Saccharomyces cerevisiae S288C: one gene and its partners. The protein of the gene in region 1 interacts with the protein of each later gene in a biochemical or structural test. Each region holds a gene or a part of one and is shown on either strand. Other genes may lie near its edges. The genes, in order: PRP45, YJU2, CEF1 and PRP46.

What was found.
Region 2: the proteins of PRP45 (region 1) and YJU2 form a complex in vitro, tested with the Saccharomyces cerevisiae proteins (one study listed by BioGRID).
Region 3: the proteins of PRP45 (region 1) and CEF1 form a complex in vitro, tested with the Saccharomyces cerevisiae proteins (one study listed by BioGRID).
Region 4: the proteins of PRP45 (region 1) and PRP46 form a complex in vitro, tested with the Saccharomyces cerevisiae proteins (one study listed by BioGRID).

The regions. Positions count from the first base shown.
Region 1 is NC_001133.9:82,835-87,264, forward strand, and holds PRP45 (mRNA splicing protein PRP45), read right to left. Parts: upstream 1,641-4,430; coding exon 501-1,640; downstream 1-500. Other genes in the region: RNA-binding protein POP5, read left to right, coding at 1-393; protein phosphatase regulator GIP4, read right to left, coding at 1,915-4,197. UniProt on the Saccharomyces cerevisiae protein: Involved in pre-mRNA splicing. Associated with the spliceosome throughout the splicing reactions, until after the second catalytic step.
Region 2 is NC_001143.9:259,709-263,613, forward strand, and holds YJU2 (mRNA splicing protein YJU2), read left to right. Parts: upstream 1-2,568; coding exon 2,569-3,405; downstream 3,406-3,905. Other genes in the region: CWP1 (Cwp1p), read left to right, coding at 1,424-2,143; YJU3 (acylglycerol lipase), read left to right, coding at 3,641-3,905. UniProt on the Saccharomyces cerevisiae protein: Part of the spliceosome which catalyzes two sequential transesterification reactions, first the excision of the non-coding intron from pre-mRNA and then the ligation of the coding exons to form the mature mRNA.
Region 3 is NC_001145.3:690,754-695,653, reverse strand, and holds CEF1 (Cef1p), read right to left. Parts: upstream 2,274-4,900; coding exon 501-2,273; downstream 1-500. Other genes in the region: SCJ1 (Scj1p), read right to left, coding at 1-304; EFR3 (Efr3p), read left to right, coding at 2,611-4,900. UniProt on the Saccharomyces cerevisiae protein: Involved in pre-mRNA splicing and cell cycle control.
Region 4 is NC_001148.4:265,046-269,618, reverse strand, and holds PRP46 (mRNA splicing protein PRP46), read left to right. Parts: upstream 1-2,083; coding exon 2,084-3,439; downstream 3,440-4,573. Other genes in the region: YPL150W (non-specific serine/threonine protein kinase), read right to left, coding at 1-1,431; peptidylprolyl isomerase RRD2, read right to left, coding at 3,515-4,573. UniProt on the Saccharomyces cerevisiae protein: Involved in pre-mRNA splicing. May also be required for cell cycle progression at G2/M.

The DNA of each region.
Region 1 (4,430 bases):
TCCATAAAGTCGATACTCCAAGAGATACGACGCTCGCTGTCGTTGAATCTGGGCGACTATGGGTCTGCAAAATGTAACTCTCTCTTGCAGTTGAAATACTTTTCAAATAAGACGTCTACGGGGATAATCCGATGCCATCGAGAGGATTGCGACCTTGTTATCATGGCATTGATGTTGATGTCGAAAATTGGCGACGTCGATGGACTGATCGTGAACCCCGTCAAGGTAAGTGGGACCATCAAGAAAATAGAGCAGTTTGCTATGAGAAGGAATTCTAAAATTCTGAACATAATCAAGTGTAGTCAATCATCACACCTCAGCGATAATGACTTTATTATCAATGATTTCAAGAAAATTGGAAGGGAAAACGAAAACGAAAACGAGGACGATTAGAATATATTAATATATAGATGTACACGTATATGCAGTAGTTTTATTTTTTTATCTATAATACAACTCAAGCACAAGAATGCTTTGTTTTCCTAGTGCTCATCCTGGGCCTAGGCGCCATAGTTATCCGATTTATCATCGGATTCAGCTTTAGTAAACTGAATGGGGCCGTGAGAACCACTGGCACCTTCACTCTTAACATTGACCGCTTCGTCCAGCTTTTCGTAGTTGGTCTTGTATATGCTTTCAATATCTTGTTGGACGAACAGTGGGTTGTCATAAACCTGGTCTTCATGCCTTTTGGCGGAGGCATTTGCCCCTCTTGTGAAAAATCTTGAATCGTACTGCAGATCCGGTTGTTCTGAACGCTTTGCTGCGCCCAGAATTATCTTTTCGGATACGTCTCTTCCTTGAGAGTACGCCAGCTCTTTTAGTCTGGCCACTGTGCTCGTTTGCTTTTTGGGCTTAACTATTGCTCCCGTCTGCGGAGTCCCGTTGTGGTATCTGGCTCGTTGGCTCAATTCTTTCAATTTAGATTCTTTAGCAAGCATTTCCTGTTCCATAGCAAGCCGCTTCAATTCCATTTTGGACCTGATCTCTTGTCTTGCCTTCTTGTCAGCGTTTTCTAACGCTTCGGAGAGCTTCATAAACCCATCGTTGATGGTATTATTTTCGTTGTCAAGAGCTTTACCTACACGTCTTTCCAAGGCCACGGTATAACCATTTGGATTTTTCCAGTTTGACACAGCTGCAGGTATCTTCCACTCATTTGGATCAGCTTCTCCCCTATCATTGCTGCCATCCATATGGAGAACAGGCACGACTTCGTCGTTTTCTGTGGGTGCTACAACCTTTCTCGCCTTCTTCCCAACGAACCTTGGCAACAATGGATCCATTTGCTTGGACACTACCTCAATATGGTGGCTGTTGTTCAATAATAGATTCGCGGGTGCCTGATGTGTTTCGGTGACGTACCTTGATGATGCCCTGTTATTTGAGTTGGCTAGTTTCGCATTCACAAGCCGCTGAATGTATGACTTGGTTCTTGCTGTACATTCTTGGATTTCTGCTTTCGTTGGCAAAGGAACCGATAGTTCGAAATTAGACTGTCTCTTTGGAATAAAATCATCGAGCTTAACGTTTTTAGCGATTTGGTCAGTCAATATTGCCGGCTCAACGCGATCTGAGCTCAAAGCCGTCGAAACTCGTCCTTGAGAATGTTTTGGAGGTGGTAGTCTGTTACTAAACATATTTGGTTGAGGTTGCTGATACGTCCTCTCGGCTCAGAGCTGCCATGTGTCAATAACCCCATAATTTGAACTTCTTTCATCAACTTTTTAGCTGGGGAAAAATCAAATTCGTGAAGAATTACAATAATACGTTAAGGTAAAAGATTAAATATTAAAAAATAGTATGAGTACTTTTGAATCATCAGACAAGAACAATGAAGGATATGAATAGTATTAGATATGTATTCTTTTTTTTTTCCAGGGACATAAAGAGTTGTTTTTATAAGGTGCGGAGTTATCTCAATTTGCTTCTGATTTTAGAAGCTATTCTATGCCCGGTCGACTCTTTGATTTCGATCCCAAACGGCATCATGGTAGTTTCGGAGCCAGATTCGCCATTTTCCCACTCTAATCCATCTCGAAGACTTTTTCGAAAGGTAAACCCTTCTTCTTGTCTCAGCGTGTTATATTTGGACTTATGCTGTAGCGGCTTGATCATTGCCGAAGCAGGTATTGGCGGATAATGTAGCACAGCCGGCTTCTTGTACCAACCCACCTTTGTTGGTTTAGGATTTTCTGCCTCTGTCATTGGCGGTACACCAGCAAATCTCACCCTTTTGATGGACAATTCACTGGAGTTTGACTCCGGATCTAGAGTTAATGTCTCTATAGCCAAAGTATCACTACTATTGGCAATCAGGGTACTTGATGATTTTCCTGAGGAGGTGTTGTTTATACTGGATACTTTTGGTGAAGGCGCTAACGATGAAGATGCAGAAGGATTGGGTGTAGATGCACTTTTGTTCATCAAATGCCGCACTGTATCTTGGACGATTTTTTGATTTAACGTCATGGTTGAGGACTGCAAAGAATTGGACCTTTGATTGTTGAGCTTTGAAGGTGGAGCTATTGACGGATGTCTTGTAGAATTCAAATATGAGGTTTGTTGTTTGTTTGTATAGGATTGCAAAGATGAGGATCTAGGCCTTCTGCCGTTGATCAGTTTTCTTTTCTCCGGAGACACCACGCTTTTCTTCGTTTCTGCGTTTTTATTGTTGAAAGTGGTCCTTACAGGCGATACTGAGGGAGACCTAGAAGAATTTGAGGCTAAATGCGCCCTTGCCCTTGTTCTTATGCTCTCTAAAGAGGCCTGTCTTGATGGGCTTGCTGAAGATGTGGGTGAGGGGGATGGAGAAGAAGAGGCTGGCAGCTTTGTTATTGACGGCTTCTTCTTTAGCTTACTTTTCGCGTTTTTAACCTCTAAATACAGAGCCTTATCTCTTTCTAGCTTTTCTTTCAAATTCTCCCGCAAGTCATTGGTTTCATCGAAGGTTTTATAATTTTTCTCAATATATTTCCAGCAATCCATCCAATTGGATAATAATCCCATAATGGACCTCAATTTCGGTATAATCTTGCAGATATGATTATTAAACAATTCCACAACTAAACCAGGTTGAAGGTGGAAAATGGGAGTTCTTGAGGAATTGTTATCGGTACGCGCCGTTTGAGTCCAAAATTTTAAATTCTCCTGCAGTTCGAATAAAGCTGTGACATCATCACATTCTGGAGAGAGCAAAGCCATCAGCTCACAAATTATCAAATCGTAATGGTACACGTTTTCGCTGGATAATCTTGTCTTGATGTCCAAGAAATGTTGTTTATTCGGTAGGAAAATTTGCCTAGAGAAACTGATAATAACACACAAGACAGAAAAAACCCGCAAGTGGAAAGTGTATATCCTGTGTAGAGTCCATTCCCAATGTGGTAGATCCTTCTGTAAATTTGACAGTGAAGTAGGTCTTGTTTCCGAAAATTTCTGCAATTGGTTGTAATATGTCCTTAGAATGGGGAAGATTTTCGAATGAACACAGGAGTTCAGTTTCTCCATCACTTGCCATTGCAATTTGTAAAAGGAATGGGTGGACTTATCCCTTACTGGATCATTAATCAAAACGGCTAAATCTAGAATCAATGTCATTTCAACTGGATTTAACAAGTCTTCAATTATTGAAGTGTCAAATGGAAGTGACCGAGCTTTGTACGCATCCCTTTCCAATAAAATCTGTCTCAACTTGGCATTATAAATTTTTATAGCATTTTGAGCAATGCAAGACAGCGAATTTAAAATCTTCCATTGTAGAGAATTATTGTATATGCACGATTTATAGTGATCTAGGGGTACCTCCTCGGGAAACATCCAGCCCTCTACATCAATAAAATTAGTTGATAATCTCTGCTGCACTTCGCTTAGCTTTATCAGCTGGAATCGACAGAGCAAATGGTACCTCTTAGCCAATACGGGGCTTACATTAAATATAGGACCCTCACAAAGTGATAAGATGAAATTAACGAGGGGAATAATTTTGTAGGACTCGTCATTGTCTCTTTTCTTCTTCAAATGCGGTACCAGAACGTTTAGTAGCCTATTCAGTTCATTCAGCTTGTAAAGAGCGTTCTTATATTGAATGATTTTTATATCATACGAGTCCAACGGAACAGAACCTTTGATTGCCGGAATAGAAGCGCTGGCAGCAGCTTTGGCTAGCAACTTTTTTCTCTTTTGCACATCTACCATGTTGTAATATAAAACTAGTCTAAATCCTCAACCTTCAGCTTCCAATCACTCCTTTTATCATTGTTCATTCGCTAACAAACTTCAAACATATGCCTTTATTATGCGTCTTCCTGCTGTTTCAACCATTGATTGCAGGGTAACAGACATTTTTAAGGGTCTTTCCCACAGCATCTATAAGAAAGATCGTCAAAAGTATTAGTTAAACATTGAAAATTTGCGCCAAAGACATAGCA
Region 2 (3,905 bases), on another chromosome or scaffold:
TTCCTGTGATTTCTCTTCGAATGAGTCAAAAATTTGAACTCGAAATGAATGTATTAGAGACTGGGTTTCTTCGAGTTTGCTGAGATCTTGGCTATGCACAATGTTTCCTGCGCCCCTAAGGTGAAAAAAACATGCATGCTTGTTTCAACAGACCAGTGTGCATAAAGAATTTCGCCCTTAGCTGCGATTAAAGAGTCAAGGCGTGAAAAACATAGGCGAAAGTGCTGACCGTTCTTCCCTTTATCTTTTTACCATCTTCGTTATCTGTTACCTGTTCAAAAGAAAGTGGGAAAGATATTGGTGTGCTACGGTGGGATCTTTTTTTTCTGCCATTTTCTATACTTTACTTCCACTTATAAAATATTTTACAAATTCAAGGGAGACGTGTGACAAAATAATAATCTAGAACTCAATGAACTTTTGTCCTCACTACAATTGCCCCTCGGATGGATTTGAACTTACAAGAAATATCACGTTGGCGCGCGCTAAAGTCGCTTGCCAATGCGCTATGAAATTTTCATGACCTGGCACATTTTAGCACAGTGCCATTAATCCCTTTATTATGGGCATTGATGCGACTTTAAAACTGTACCTTCCTTCGCACATGCTGAATTTTCTTAATGAGATTCATCTACGATGCTTTAGAGCTAGCCTTGTTTTCTTTTTTATGCTTCAAGAGTAAGTAGTGAAGAACCCCACTAGACAAATACTAAGGGATGCTGCAACCACGTCTTATACTTCACCCATACATAACATTGGAATCTCATTAATTTTTGCAAAGATATGGTGAACAAGTTTCAAAATAAGAATGTATGTGTACCGAATCGTAGCTCGAGGTAATAATGAAAAAAAAAATCGGACATCTGGAAAGTTACGAATATAGAAGCAGATACCCCTCTTGACGGCAAACATTGTGTGCTCGACCTTCTATCCCGTTAAAATATCATAATAAACAAACCCCTCCCGCGAAAACAAAAAAAGAGAGCTAAAAAAAGTACTTCTTCGCGTTATAGATGGTGCCGCACCGTACGTCATAACTAAAAATAGCGTTAGCCACAGCTCCCTGAACGAAAAGGGCCCTTCGGCCCGATTGGAATACGGGTCCGCTTACGTCTGTGCGTGCGGGTTGTCCCACAACGGTAACTTACTCCAGGAGAGCCATCTCGAAGGTGCCACAAAAGAAAACAAAAAAAACAACAAACAATAAGCTCTGTGGTTCACGTTCAATGTAGTGTTTTTTCACCTTTTAATTTTGATAATTTGTGGTGCAGAAAAAAAAAAAGCAAACAAACAAAATCTCAATTATTTAAAGGACGATCTTAACGTTTCTTTCTTTCGCTATCTTCCTTGAATTTTTTTTCTGTCTGAAGTAAAATATCCCGTAACAAACTAATAAATACTACGAAAGTCTCAAAAAACAATAATGAAATTCTCCACTGCTTTGTCTGTCGCTTTATTCGCCTTGGCTAAGATGGTCATTGCCGATTCCGAAGAATTCGGCCTGGTGAGTATCCGTTCCGGCTCGGATTTACAATACTTGAGTGTTTACAGTGATAACGGCACTTTGAAACTTGGCAGCGGTAGTGGCTCATTTGAGGCAACTATTACCGATGACGGTAAACTGAAATTTGACGACGATAAGTATGCTGTTGTCAATGAGGATGGCTCATTCAAAGAAGGTTCTGAGAGCGATGCTGCCACTGGTTTTTCTATTAAAGATGGCCATCTAAACTACAAGAGCTCTTCTGGTTTCTACGCTATCAAGGACGGGTCGTCTTACATTTTCTCTTCTAAGCAATCCGACGACGCTACCGGTGTTGCGATTAGACCAACTAGTAAGAGCGGATCTGTTGCAGCAGATTTTTCTCCAAGCGACTCTAGTTCCTCTTCATCTGCTTCTGCTTCGTCTGCTTCCGCATCATCTTCTACAAAGCATAGTTCGAGTATAGAATCTGTCGAGACCTCTACTACTGTGGAAACTTCCTCTGCTAGCTCCCCAACTGCTTCAGTTATCTCTCAAATTACTGATGGACAAATCCAAGCTCCAAACACAGTTTACGAACAAACAGAAAATGCAGGTGCCAAGGCTGCCGTCGGCATGGGTGCTGGTGCTCTAGCGGTCGCAGCTGCTTACTTGTTGTAAGTACGAGAACAAAACCTGCATGTTTTATTTCCTTCAATATAGCTTTCTACATAATGATCACTTACATATAGCGTAATGTAATATGAAATGGCCCATAATATTCTCTTACATTGTCCTCCTACCTACATTCCTTTTCTTGCATGCAGCTCTCACATTCCCCGATTCGCTTGAAAAATTTAAACTTGTAGAAAAGTAGGTGAATGTCCCGCCGGCGGTTTCTCTGCTGCATGTAGAAAGATGGATATACAGAAAAGGAGATAAGAGTAGCTATCTCAAGTTTGTTCCACTGACTGCTAATACGCATAGAGTTGTTATTTATTGTACATATTCGAAAAAAAGCAAGAAATCACTACGGTGACCTCAGTAGAACGAACTAATAAGTCAAACCAAATTAACCGTTTCCAGGCTGATAGGAGAATACAAGAATGTCTGAAAGAAAAGCTATTAACAAGTACTATCCACCGGATTACAACCCACTGGAAGCTGAAAAGCTATCCAGGAAAATGGCTAAAAAACTGAAAACCATGAATAAGAGCCACGCATCGATTAGATTAATGACCCCATTTAGTATGAGGTGTTTGGAATGTAACGAATATATTCCCAAAAGCAGAAAATTCAATGGTAAGAAAGAGCTACTGAAGGAGAAGTACCTGGACTCCATTAAGATATATAGACTAACCATTTCATGTCCACGTTGTGCCAATTCCATTGCATTTAGAACAGACCCCGGTAATTCAGATTATGTAATGGAAGTGGGGGGCGTAAGAAACTATGTCCCTCAGAAACCAAATGATGACCTGAACGCTAAAACAGCTGTCGAAAGCATAGACGAGACACTGCAACGCTTAGTGAGAGAGAAGGAAATGGAGCAGAACGAGAAGATGGGTATAAAGGAGCAAGCAGATGACAAAATGGATTTGCTGGAAAAAAGACTAGCCAAAATTCAACAAGAGCAAGAGGATGATGAGGAACTTGAAAATTTAAGGAAAAAAAACCTTGAAATGAGCCAGAGAGCTGAAATGATAAACCGCAGCAAACACGCACAACAAGAAAAAGCAGTAACGACTGATGATCTGGACAACCTCGTAGATCAGGTATTTGACAATCACAGGCAGCGTACCAATAAACCTGGCAATAACAACGATGAGAAGAGAACTCCGTTGTTTAATCCTACATCCACTAAGGGAAAAATACAGAAGAAAAGCTCTGTGCGTACGAATCCGTTAGGGATAGTTATAAAACGAGGAAAGTCTCTCAAATGACCTAGAAAAGTAAGGAACGTACGATTGGTATCATGATCTCTTGTGATGCTGTGCTACTGTGGTTGCTTCCACACTATAGCGTCCATCGCTACTTACGAGGGGCGACAGCCCCTTCGGACTTCGAAGTGTCTGGCCGTTTTTTCATTGAATTTTCTTATAAATGAATACATATCGGAAAAGCCATTGTTGACTAAAGCAAGCCAAAGCCACACAAACCGAGGACAAATAGAAAAGCATGGCTCCGTATCCATACAAAGTGCAGACGACAGTACCTGAACTTCAATACGAAAACTTTGATGGTGCTAAGTTCGGGTACATGTTCTGGCCTGTTCAAAATGGCACCAATGAGGTCAGAGGTAGAGTTTTACTGATTCATGGGTTTGGCGAGTACACAAAGATTCAATTCCGGCTTATGGACCACTTATCACTCAATGGTTACGAGTCATTTACGTTTGATCAAAGGGGTGCTGGTGTTACATCGCCGGGCAGATCGAAAGGTG
Region 3 (4,900 bases), on another chromosome or scaffold:
CTGGACCGCCACCGCCACCGCCATTCTTTACAGCATCTGCACCAAACTGGTCATAAATCTTTTTCTTTTCAGGATCGCTCAATACATCGTATGCCTCGCCGACTTCAATGAATTTTTGATGGGCTTCTTCGCTCCCAGCATTTTTATCCGGATGGTACTTCTTAGACAATTGTCTGTACGCTGATTTGATTTCCTTCTCAGTGGCATCTTTGTCTATCTCTAGTATTGCATAATAATCCTGCGCCAAAATTAGCGGCAACAACAATAAAGATAGTATCAAATGTATATATAATTTTGGAATCATTGTCCTCGATCTTTTCGCCAGCCAATGCACGCTCTTCTGGCCTATCCACCATGTTTTGTCAGTACTACATCTTATTACCATCGCTGGTTTGCCGATGTGGCCAACTTGGCAAGAAAACGTTCTAACTCCGGGTAATGCGTTGTCACAAGTCCTCTATGTCCTAGTTCATAAAAGTTATATTAATGCTATACTAATGCTATATGGAAGAAGAAGAATTTAGCATGGCTTGAAGACGCTTTCTACGACCCTCAAGCGATCGTATCTCTTGTCGGTAGGCGTAGTAATCAGCGTAGTACTTGCGTTGCCCTTCAATCAAAGCGGGCAGGCTGTGATGGCAGAGGGTACTGCACATCTCGTTATTCTGTTGTTCCAGTGGTTGCACATGTTGTAGTTTACGCTGTAACTGTTCAATAGACTCCACTTTTGATTGGATCGATTCCAGAAGAACCTCAGTTGGGGGCATTGCTGTTTTGAATTGTATTTTCATGGAAGTGCGCCCTTGGGTTATATGCTGCATACGCGACTCCACCTCTTTGAGAAAATCTACCGTATCTTCTGGTACCATGTGAGGTTCTTTGTTTATGGCGTTCGCGACTAGCAAGTTGTACTTATTGTCAATCGCGGACTGCGGATTGTTTTTGAATTCTGGTATGGGTAGCGTTGAGTAAGCTAATGGAACGGCTACTAATGAGACGCGTGGCGCATCATTTTGAGATGGTGGTTCTATGAAGTTGTCCTCTTCATTCATCGCTCTTTCATTTTCAAATTCTTTCTCGTATTCCGCTATCTCTGCATCTTCTTCTTTCTCGTCTTCACTTAATACAATTTCGAAATCGTTCTTGGGACTAGGCAAAGATGCGAACATTTGCACTAAAAATTTTCGTATGCGTGATTTTAGCTGTTTACCACTCTTTATATTACTGCGTTCATTATCTTCTTGGCCGGAGTCGTGGGGTAGTAGTTCTTTTGGTGTCAACACAGTGCCAGTTGCTTGTGCCTCGATTAGTTTTTGTCTTTTGCTTTCTAGCTTTTTTTTATAGGTGACTTTTCCCTGTTTCGTTCCTGGTGCAGATAGTATAAGTTTTGGTTTTTTATACTCATCCGTCAATGTAGTAGATTCACCCAGTGCTGCTTTCTCAACGTGTTCGTTCTCATCGTGTTTTCTTTTTTTGTCCTTATTTTTTTTACTTGGCTTATCCTTATTACCATCCAAACCTTTTCTGTTGACTTTTCTCTCAAACTGCTCAAACTTCTTTTTTATCTGGCGGTCTTCAGTGGACGTGTCATATATACCTGGCATGGGAGCTTGTTCATATACTATATCTTCATTGTAATCAATGTCGGTGCCGTATTTTTTTTTCGGTTTCTTAATGGCAACATTAATTCCTGCTTGCTTTAGCTCACGCCTCTTTTGTAGTTCAGCAATGCGTTTTGATTCTTCGAGCATCCGCTCTCTAATCTTTCTTGTAGCCTTCTTACCTTGGGTATTTAACAGACGAGCCCTAGCTTCAGCAAGCATTTCCTTTTCCTCATCTTCCAAATCACCATTATCTGGTCTAGCCATTTGAGTTTCAGCGTTAGGATTAATATCCCCGGCTTTCAAGTCAGTAACTCCTGTACTTAACGCAGCCCCTCCACTGTCTTCACTTTCTAATAGCCTATTATATCTTTCGACGCAGACCTGTGCAGGCCTGGCCATCATATCAGCTATGGTCCTCCACTGATTAGGCAGCTCTCTTGCAAGATCTAGAAGTTGGGCATCCTCCTCCTTCGAGAACTCTGTAAAATTCAACTTTGGATTTAAATATTCATTCCACCTTAATTCACTCTGCCTGGCAGTCTTTTTCTGCAAAAGGGATGCTACTTTGCTCCACTGATGAGTTCCGTATTTTTGTACAGCCGCTTTAAGAATCTGATCCTCCACATTGGTCCATACACCGCCTTTCACGTATATTGGTACGGGGGGCATCTTGAAATGCTAGTATAGTCCTCTTAGAAATGTTTTGCTTTTTTTCTTTACTATCTTCCTGAGTCGCATATGCTTTTTTGTCATAATAGTTCATAGCATTAATTTTTCATTAAACTTCAACCCCGGCCAAAGGAAGAGGAAGAAAATTTTGTTCGAACTACTAGGAAGGTAATGGTTTTGTTGAAAAAGCCAGGCAGCCAGGATAAATTGAAAGTATTGTGAGCAACCCCGCTATTGGAGTAGTATTAATTCAGTGGCAGACTGTATATTGAACCCAGATCATTCGCTCTATTATTCATCTTTCGTTCATTTTCAATTGTTCTGAAAGTGGTTTGCGATGCAGTTGTCTATGCGGATGATGTTCACACCAAAACATCAGAAACTGGTCAATCAATGTTATCCTACGGGAAGGACCACAGATAAGAAGCCTAAATCTTCGGAAACTTCATATTTGCTATATTACGTTAACTCGAGGCGTAGTAAATTGGAGAAAGTTAGCACTTACCTGATTAAGCGTTCCACTTCCGACTTGAACCATCGGCGCATAGGGAACATAGCCGTTACATTGGATTTAATGAACAAAATTGTGTTGCATTGTAAGGAGAATTTGAATGTATTTGTTAAAGATTTTTTGTACATTATGAACAAAGTTCTTTCCAACAACAATTTTAACAATGATGTATCTGTTGTTGAATTAATAGAACTGGCATTTAGTAGTATATGCCAGAACTTGGACGACGTCTTGTGTAACGGTGACATGGAATTCGTCCAGTTATACCAGAACTTTGTTGATCTTTTTTTTAAAATAGTTACTGAAAGAATTCATAATGATGACATGCTTCTGAAATGCTGTATTGATATATCAAACACAAATAGTGTTTCAAGCAACCCACAACTAAACCACTTTGTTTCCAAGTCTGTTGCCTATACTATTTCAAAGTTCCAAGAGAGAAATCCGAAATTTAAAACTTTGTCGCTGGAAGCAGCTCTGGAGAGCAATTTAGGAAAAAGGCTAAGTCGAACACAAACTCGTACAATTGGGTTAGATAAGGCCGCCGAAGATAATCATGACCTTTCAGTAAAAGCATTGCAATCCTATTTTAACACAACTGAGACAGACAAATTGAATTTGTCTATTCGTACTCTGTTGCGCTGTCTGCAAAGTACACCTAATAAGGAACTGCTAGAGTTTGTATGCAATGGTATACCTGTTCAGTTACGATATATTGTTATACTTCTTTTGGTCAGACAACTAAGCGACAAGGATAAAAATGTAAATCCAATTGTTTCCTTGAAATTGATGTCGTCATTACTTGTTTCAGATGTCAGTATAGTGGGGTTGAGTGTTCTTGATATAATGAGAAAGCTTTTAAATTTCCAGTTGAAAAATGCAACTAATAAAGAAGTTGTGGCACAGTCTTGTATCACCATGACAGACCTTAACCATAAAACTTATTACGCTGAACAGACCTCAGATATGTTATATGAACTACTATTGAAATTGAAAAGTGACACCGTCAAGGATGTTGAAAAGAATGCAGTTGTGGAAGATATTGATTTCCTCGTTGAACATATTACGCAGCCAAGTATCAGTTTGGAATTATTCATCGACTTGGCGCATTACATGAAAAACCACATTATATGTTTATTTAACATTGTTGAAACTGAGGTTCCAAGCAGCATTCTCTTTTCAAAACTGTACTCATTATTACGTGAACTGGATTCACATGGTGTGCAAAAAGAAATGATGGAAGAGATCTTTGACAAGTATGGAAAAATGGCACTATTATCCGGTTTGAATTATTTTCTAGAGAACGTTTCTGAGCCTGAGTATACCTATTATTCGTACCATTTACAAGCAGCTAACTTTTTAAAACTCAATGACTACAAGTCACAAACTGAGTACAAAATGCAAACTAGAACTTTGTTTACCAAGGAAGATTTATTGTCATACTATTCTGATACTGGATCAAATAAATACAGCAAGAAGGGGGCGCAGATTTTATTGTCTCGTGATAATCAAATTTCTACTTCTGATTTACTGTCGGACTCTCAAGTTCGTACTACACCTCTGGAGTACAAGAATGTCCCTAATGCTATTTTTTCAAATGGGAAAGCAGTGTATGATAACAACGATTTTGCGGCCAAGCAAAATAAATTCGACAACAGCATAGATGACAATATAGAAGAAGCTAACGATACTGTAATTTCTGATGCTAATGCAAAAGGTAGTATCTATAGGTTTGTTGCTGAGGACGCAAGATCATGGAAAACAATGAGAGCCACCGCACCAAAAGTTAGCGATTTGAAAAAAACTATGAATGAAAAGAATATTCCAAATAATATGAAAAGAGATGGCTCTTTTCGGGGTTCTCAATCAGTGAAATCTCGTGTCACTAATATCACATTTTTATTAAATGAATTGAAAACTTTTTCAGATGACGCGAATAAAATCAAAGATCCTGATGAGGAGAATATTGTTGGCTTGGATAAAATCGACGTTGCTAGATCAAATTCTCTGCGACTTGCACCAATATCTAGTCTTTCTGATCGCAGTAGCATTGGAAATAGAAAATCCTTTTTGCAAAAAACAGCAACTGGTGAAAATCAAAACGATGACTTTAAAG
Region 4 (4,573 bases), on another chromosome or scaffold:
AGAGCTTTTTTTTGACTTGAAAAAACTAGAAACTTTTTGTAAGAAATTATTGGACTTGCGAGGAGAACCTGCAATAGAGTGACTATAAGCCCTTTGTGAGGATATTTTAGAGAGAGTAGGATTCAGAACTTTTGCTGAATCTTTAGACTTCTTTCTGCTAACCGGAGTCATCGATGTTACAAAATCTGAGCCTTTATTGAGCATTTTACTCAATGAAGCAGCTCTAGAAAGTTCAAGTGAGGGTTTCAAAACATCTTCGCTAATGCCATTAGTGTCGTTATGCGTAGCACTTTCAATAACTTTTTTGACTGATAAAACGGACCTGCTTCTTTTTGGATATTTGCAATTTTCTTGCTTTTTCCCTTGGGCTAACAACAATAACCATAGACCCGAGAGTGAATCGCACTTTTTTTTCAAAATTGATTGTTTTATTGCTTGCGTATCAACCCCTGATTGTTTAAGACGCTTCAGCAATCGCCTTTCTAATTTACTTTTAAACTGAGTCCCTCCACTGCGCTGTCTGCACAAAATTTTCTGAGTCTGATCTAAAACCACTGAACCGTAAGGCTGTAAAAAAGGGTGGCGTAAAACTTGTGACAACGATGGGCGCTCTCCCGGATTTTTAGCCAATAATCGTGAGATCAAATCCCTAGCATCGTCCGGAATAACTTTAGCATCGTATTTCGGTTCTTCATTGACGATTTTCCATTTCGTTTTAGCCTCATCGTCATCATCAAATGGCAAATATCCCGTAATTAATGTGTATAGTATCACTCCCAATGACCATATATCAATCTTGAATCCATCATAAGTCCTTCTTTCTATCAATTCAGGTGCCATATAAACTGTGGTACCGCAAACCGTTTCTAATGTCGTCTTTGTCATACATTCTCTCGTAAAACCAAAATCCGTCAATTTTGCATTTCCATTTTTGTCTAATAAAATATTCTCTAACTTCAAATCTCTATGAACACAATGCATTGAGTGTGCATAGTAAACAGCACCTGAAATTTGTGCAAACAACTCTCCGCATTCCAATAACGATATTCTACGCAGAGAAAGTAAGTGGTCATATAATTCCTTCCCTGGGCAATATTCTAATGCCATCCACACTTTTGATTCTGTCACTATCACTTCATAAAGCTTTGTAATATAAGGAAAATCGAACTGTCTATGGTAAAATACCTCTCTAACGATATTGGGATCATTCTTATCACTCGTCTTTAGGCAGACTTTACGATGTGTTGGTCTATGGAGCGCTAAATATACTTTTCCAAAACTTCCTTCACCTATTTGTTTTAAAATCTTGTAGTTTCCCACTTCTGTCAACTCATCAGAAGTAAATTGGCTGTATAGTCGATTGTACGATGATCCTATAATGCTTTTTATATTGTTTTGTTCCAATTTCGAGGATCCAACAGGATTAACCATGGTGAGCAGTATATTCACCTATATGTGGGTCTTTTATTGTCTCTTGGCAACGGATAAGGAGAACTTGCTTCCACTACACAGTGACTAGTTATTAATGAAAAACGAAACAAAATTTATTGATACAAAAAATAGTATTCGGATAACGAAACTCTTGTTGACTTCAAAATACAGGTATTGGAATTTTCGTAATGATTCGGAATGATATGAGGGAAAAAACGTTACTTTATTTAATTCATACAAGATATTTATTGTATACCGTTATTGATAAGTGTTCTGTTGTCAAGATTGGGAGGGTCCACGCGGTCAACATTGTTAAGATAAGCCGAAAATCACCACACAAATCCACGATGACCTAAGAACATTCGTTCGCTTAAATCACCTATAGTCACAATAAAGTAGCATTCAATGTGACAAGAGGAGCTATCTACTTTCAGAGAATTACTCCTCATCTCGTATTCCTATTTCGAGTTCAACAACTCTTTTATTAAGTAAGGGTGCTCAAAATTCTTCATCATCTAATACGGAAAAGCTACAATTTTGGCAATAAAAGATTATTCAAGATGTGAAGCTAACAGTAATTATTACCCACTTCATTGCATCTTAAAACCATTTCCGAGGATGCAGACACTGTGTTACATGGAGATTAGTGAGAATGGACGGAAATGATCACAAAGTCGAAAATTTAGGAGATGTAGACAAATTTTATTCCAGAATACGCTGGAATAACCAATTTTCATATATGGCCACTCTGCCGCCCCACCTACAAAGCGAAATGGAAGGTCAGAAATCATTGCTAATGCGATATGATACTTATAGGAAGGAAAGTTCTTCTTTTAGTGGTGAAGGCAAGAAAGTTACTCTGCAGCATGTTCCTACAGATTTTTCAGAAGCATCACAAGCAGTGATTAGCAAGAAAGATCACGATACGCATGCATCTGCTTTTGTGAATAAAATTTTCCAACCAGAGGTTGCTGAAGAACTTATAGTTAATCGATACGAAAAACTTCTGTCACAAAGGCCGGAATGGCATGCACCCTGGAAACTTTCACGCGTTATCAATGGCCATCTTGGATGGGTACGATGCGTTGCAATCGATCCTGTTGACAACGAATGGTTCATCACCGGAAGTAATGATACGACAATGAAAGTTTGGGATCTTGCAACAGGAAAATTAAAAACTACCTTAGCAGGGCATGTAATGACAGTGAGAGACGTTGCTGTGTCAGATCGACATCCTTATTTATTTTCTGTTAGTGAAGATAAGACGGTCAAATGCTGGGACCTAGAGAAAAACCAAATTATTAGAGATTACTATGGACATTTATCGGGGGTTCGTACGGTGAGCATACATCCAACGCTGGATCTCATAGCTACCGCAGGCCGAGATAGCGTTATCAAACTCTGGGATATGAGAACCAGAATACCTGTTATTACACTAGTTGGGCATAAGGGTCCAATCAATCAAGTACAGTGTACTCCAGTAGACCCTCAAGTGGTGAGTTCATCGACTGATGCTACGGTAAGGTTATGGGATGTAGTTGCTGGGAAAACAATGAAAGTTCTAACACATCATAAGAGGTCTGTGAGAGCTACAGCGTTGCATCCTAAGGAGTTTTCGGTGGCTTCTGCGTGTACTGATGACATCAGATCATGGGGATTAGCAGAGGGGTCTTTACTCACCAATTTTGAGTCTGAAAAGACAGGCATAATCAATACTTTAAGCATTAATCAAGATGATGTATTATTCGCTGGCGGTGACAATGGTGTGCTTTCCTTTTATGATTATAAGTCTGGTCACAAATACCAATCGTTGGCCACGAGAGAAATGGTAGGCTCTCTGGAAGGTGAACGGAGTGTTCTTTGTAGCACTTTCGATAAAACAGGTTTAAGATTAATCACTGGAGAAGCAGACAAAAGCATAAAGATTTGGAAACAGGATGAGACGGCTACAAAAGAGTCAGAACCGGGGCTAGCGTGGAACCCCAACTTAAGCGCCAAAAGATTTTAGTGGGAGTAGATGGAAAAAGTACGTACCCTGTATACGTGTATATACAATGAGATAGCATCTATAAATGGACTTTTCCTAATCAAAAGGTATTGGTTTATGATGTTTTTTATTCATCTCAGTAGCCGCAATAGCGCTCGGTAACTTTATACCACAGCAGTCTCCCCAAGTAGTATGAACATGTCCTTCAAAATTGCACTCATCATCCTTATCAGTCCCATCATGTATGTGGCCTCTTGGTGGAGATACACCATCCGGACAAGGCAAAAACTCGCTAAAGTAAAAATGTTGCATGATGGGCAATTTACTAAGGACTTCGGCTTTATACATTTTTATCATCCCTTCAGCAACTTTTGACCAAGTCTTTACACCGCTGATGTCATCTAGCATAGGAGAATGCCATCTCAAGGAGGCGGATGACTTGACCTTATTAATAAAAGCGATACAACCAAAATATAAGTACCGATGAGCGAACATTTCTACGAGCTCATTATTGTGAATTGATATCGGCTTTAAGTGCTTGTGGGTGGTTAATTGGAAGGCACCAAATAGAAATGGAAGGAAATGATAATCATCTAATCCCCAAACACCATGAGAGCCCGCAGGCTCAAGCCAATATTTAGTTTCTAGTATCCTCATTATTTTAAGGTATTCTATAAAAACTTTCAGCACGAGGTTAGTTGAATCGTTTGAAAGATTGAATATTCCATAACTATAGAGTCCATAAAGTAAACACATGAAATTTAATTCATGACCTGAACCATAATCAATTCTTCTTTTATTTCCCCATGATTCATCTAGATAAATCGATAATTGTTCCAACTGCTCATCTGTGAGAGAGGGAAATTCGGAACGTAAGATCTTCCTGGAATTCCGTGAAACTTCGTCATAAAAGTCCCTAAACTCAACCTTACCAAATCTCGAGCTATCTGCATCCTTTATTACTGGGTGCTTCTGAGTGATATCTTTTATTTGCGAAAGCAAGTTCATCATACTGTTTATTGACTCCGATATTGGTTCTTTGTACTGGGAATTCTCATGTCCTTTGACAGATTCAGCCAAATCTATAATAAATTTAGTGAAATGAGCTCTTGTTGGGGATTCTTCCCATAGTTTCATATCGTCTGGAGTCAATAG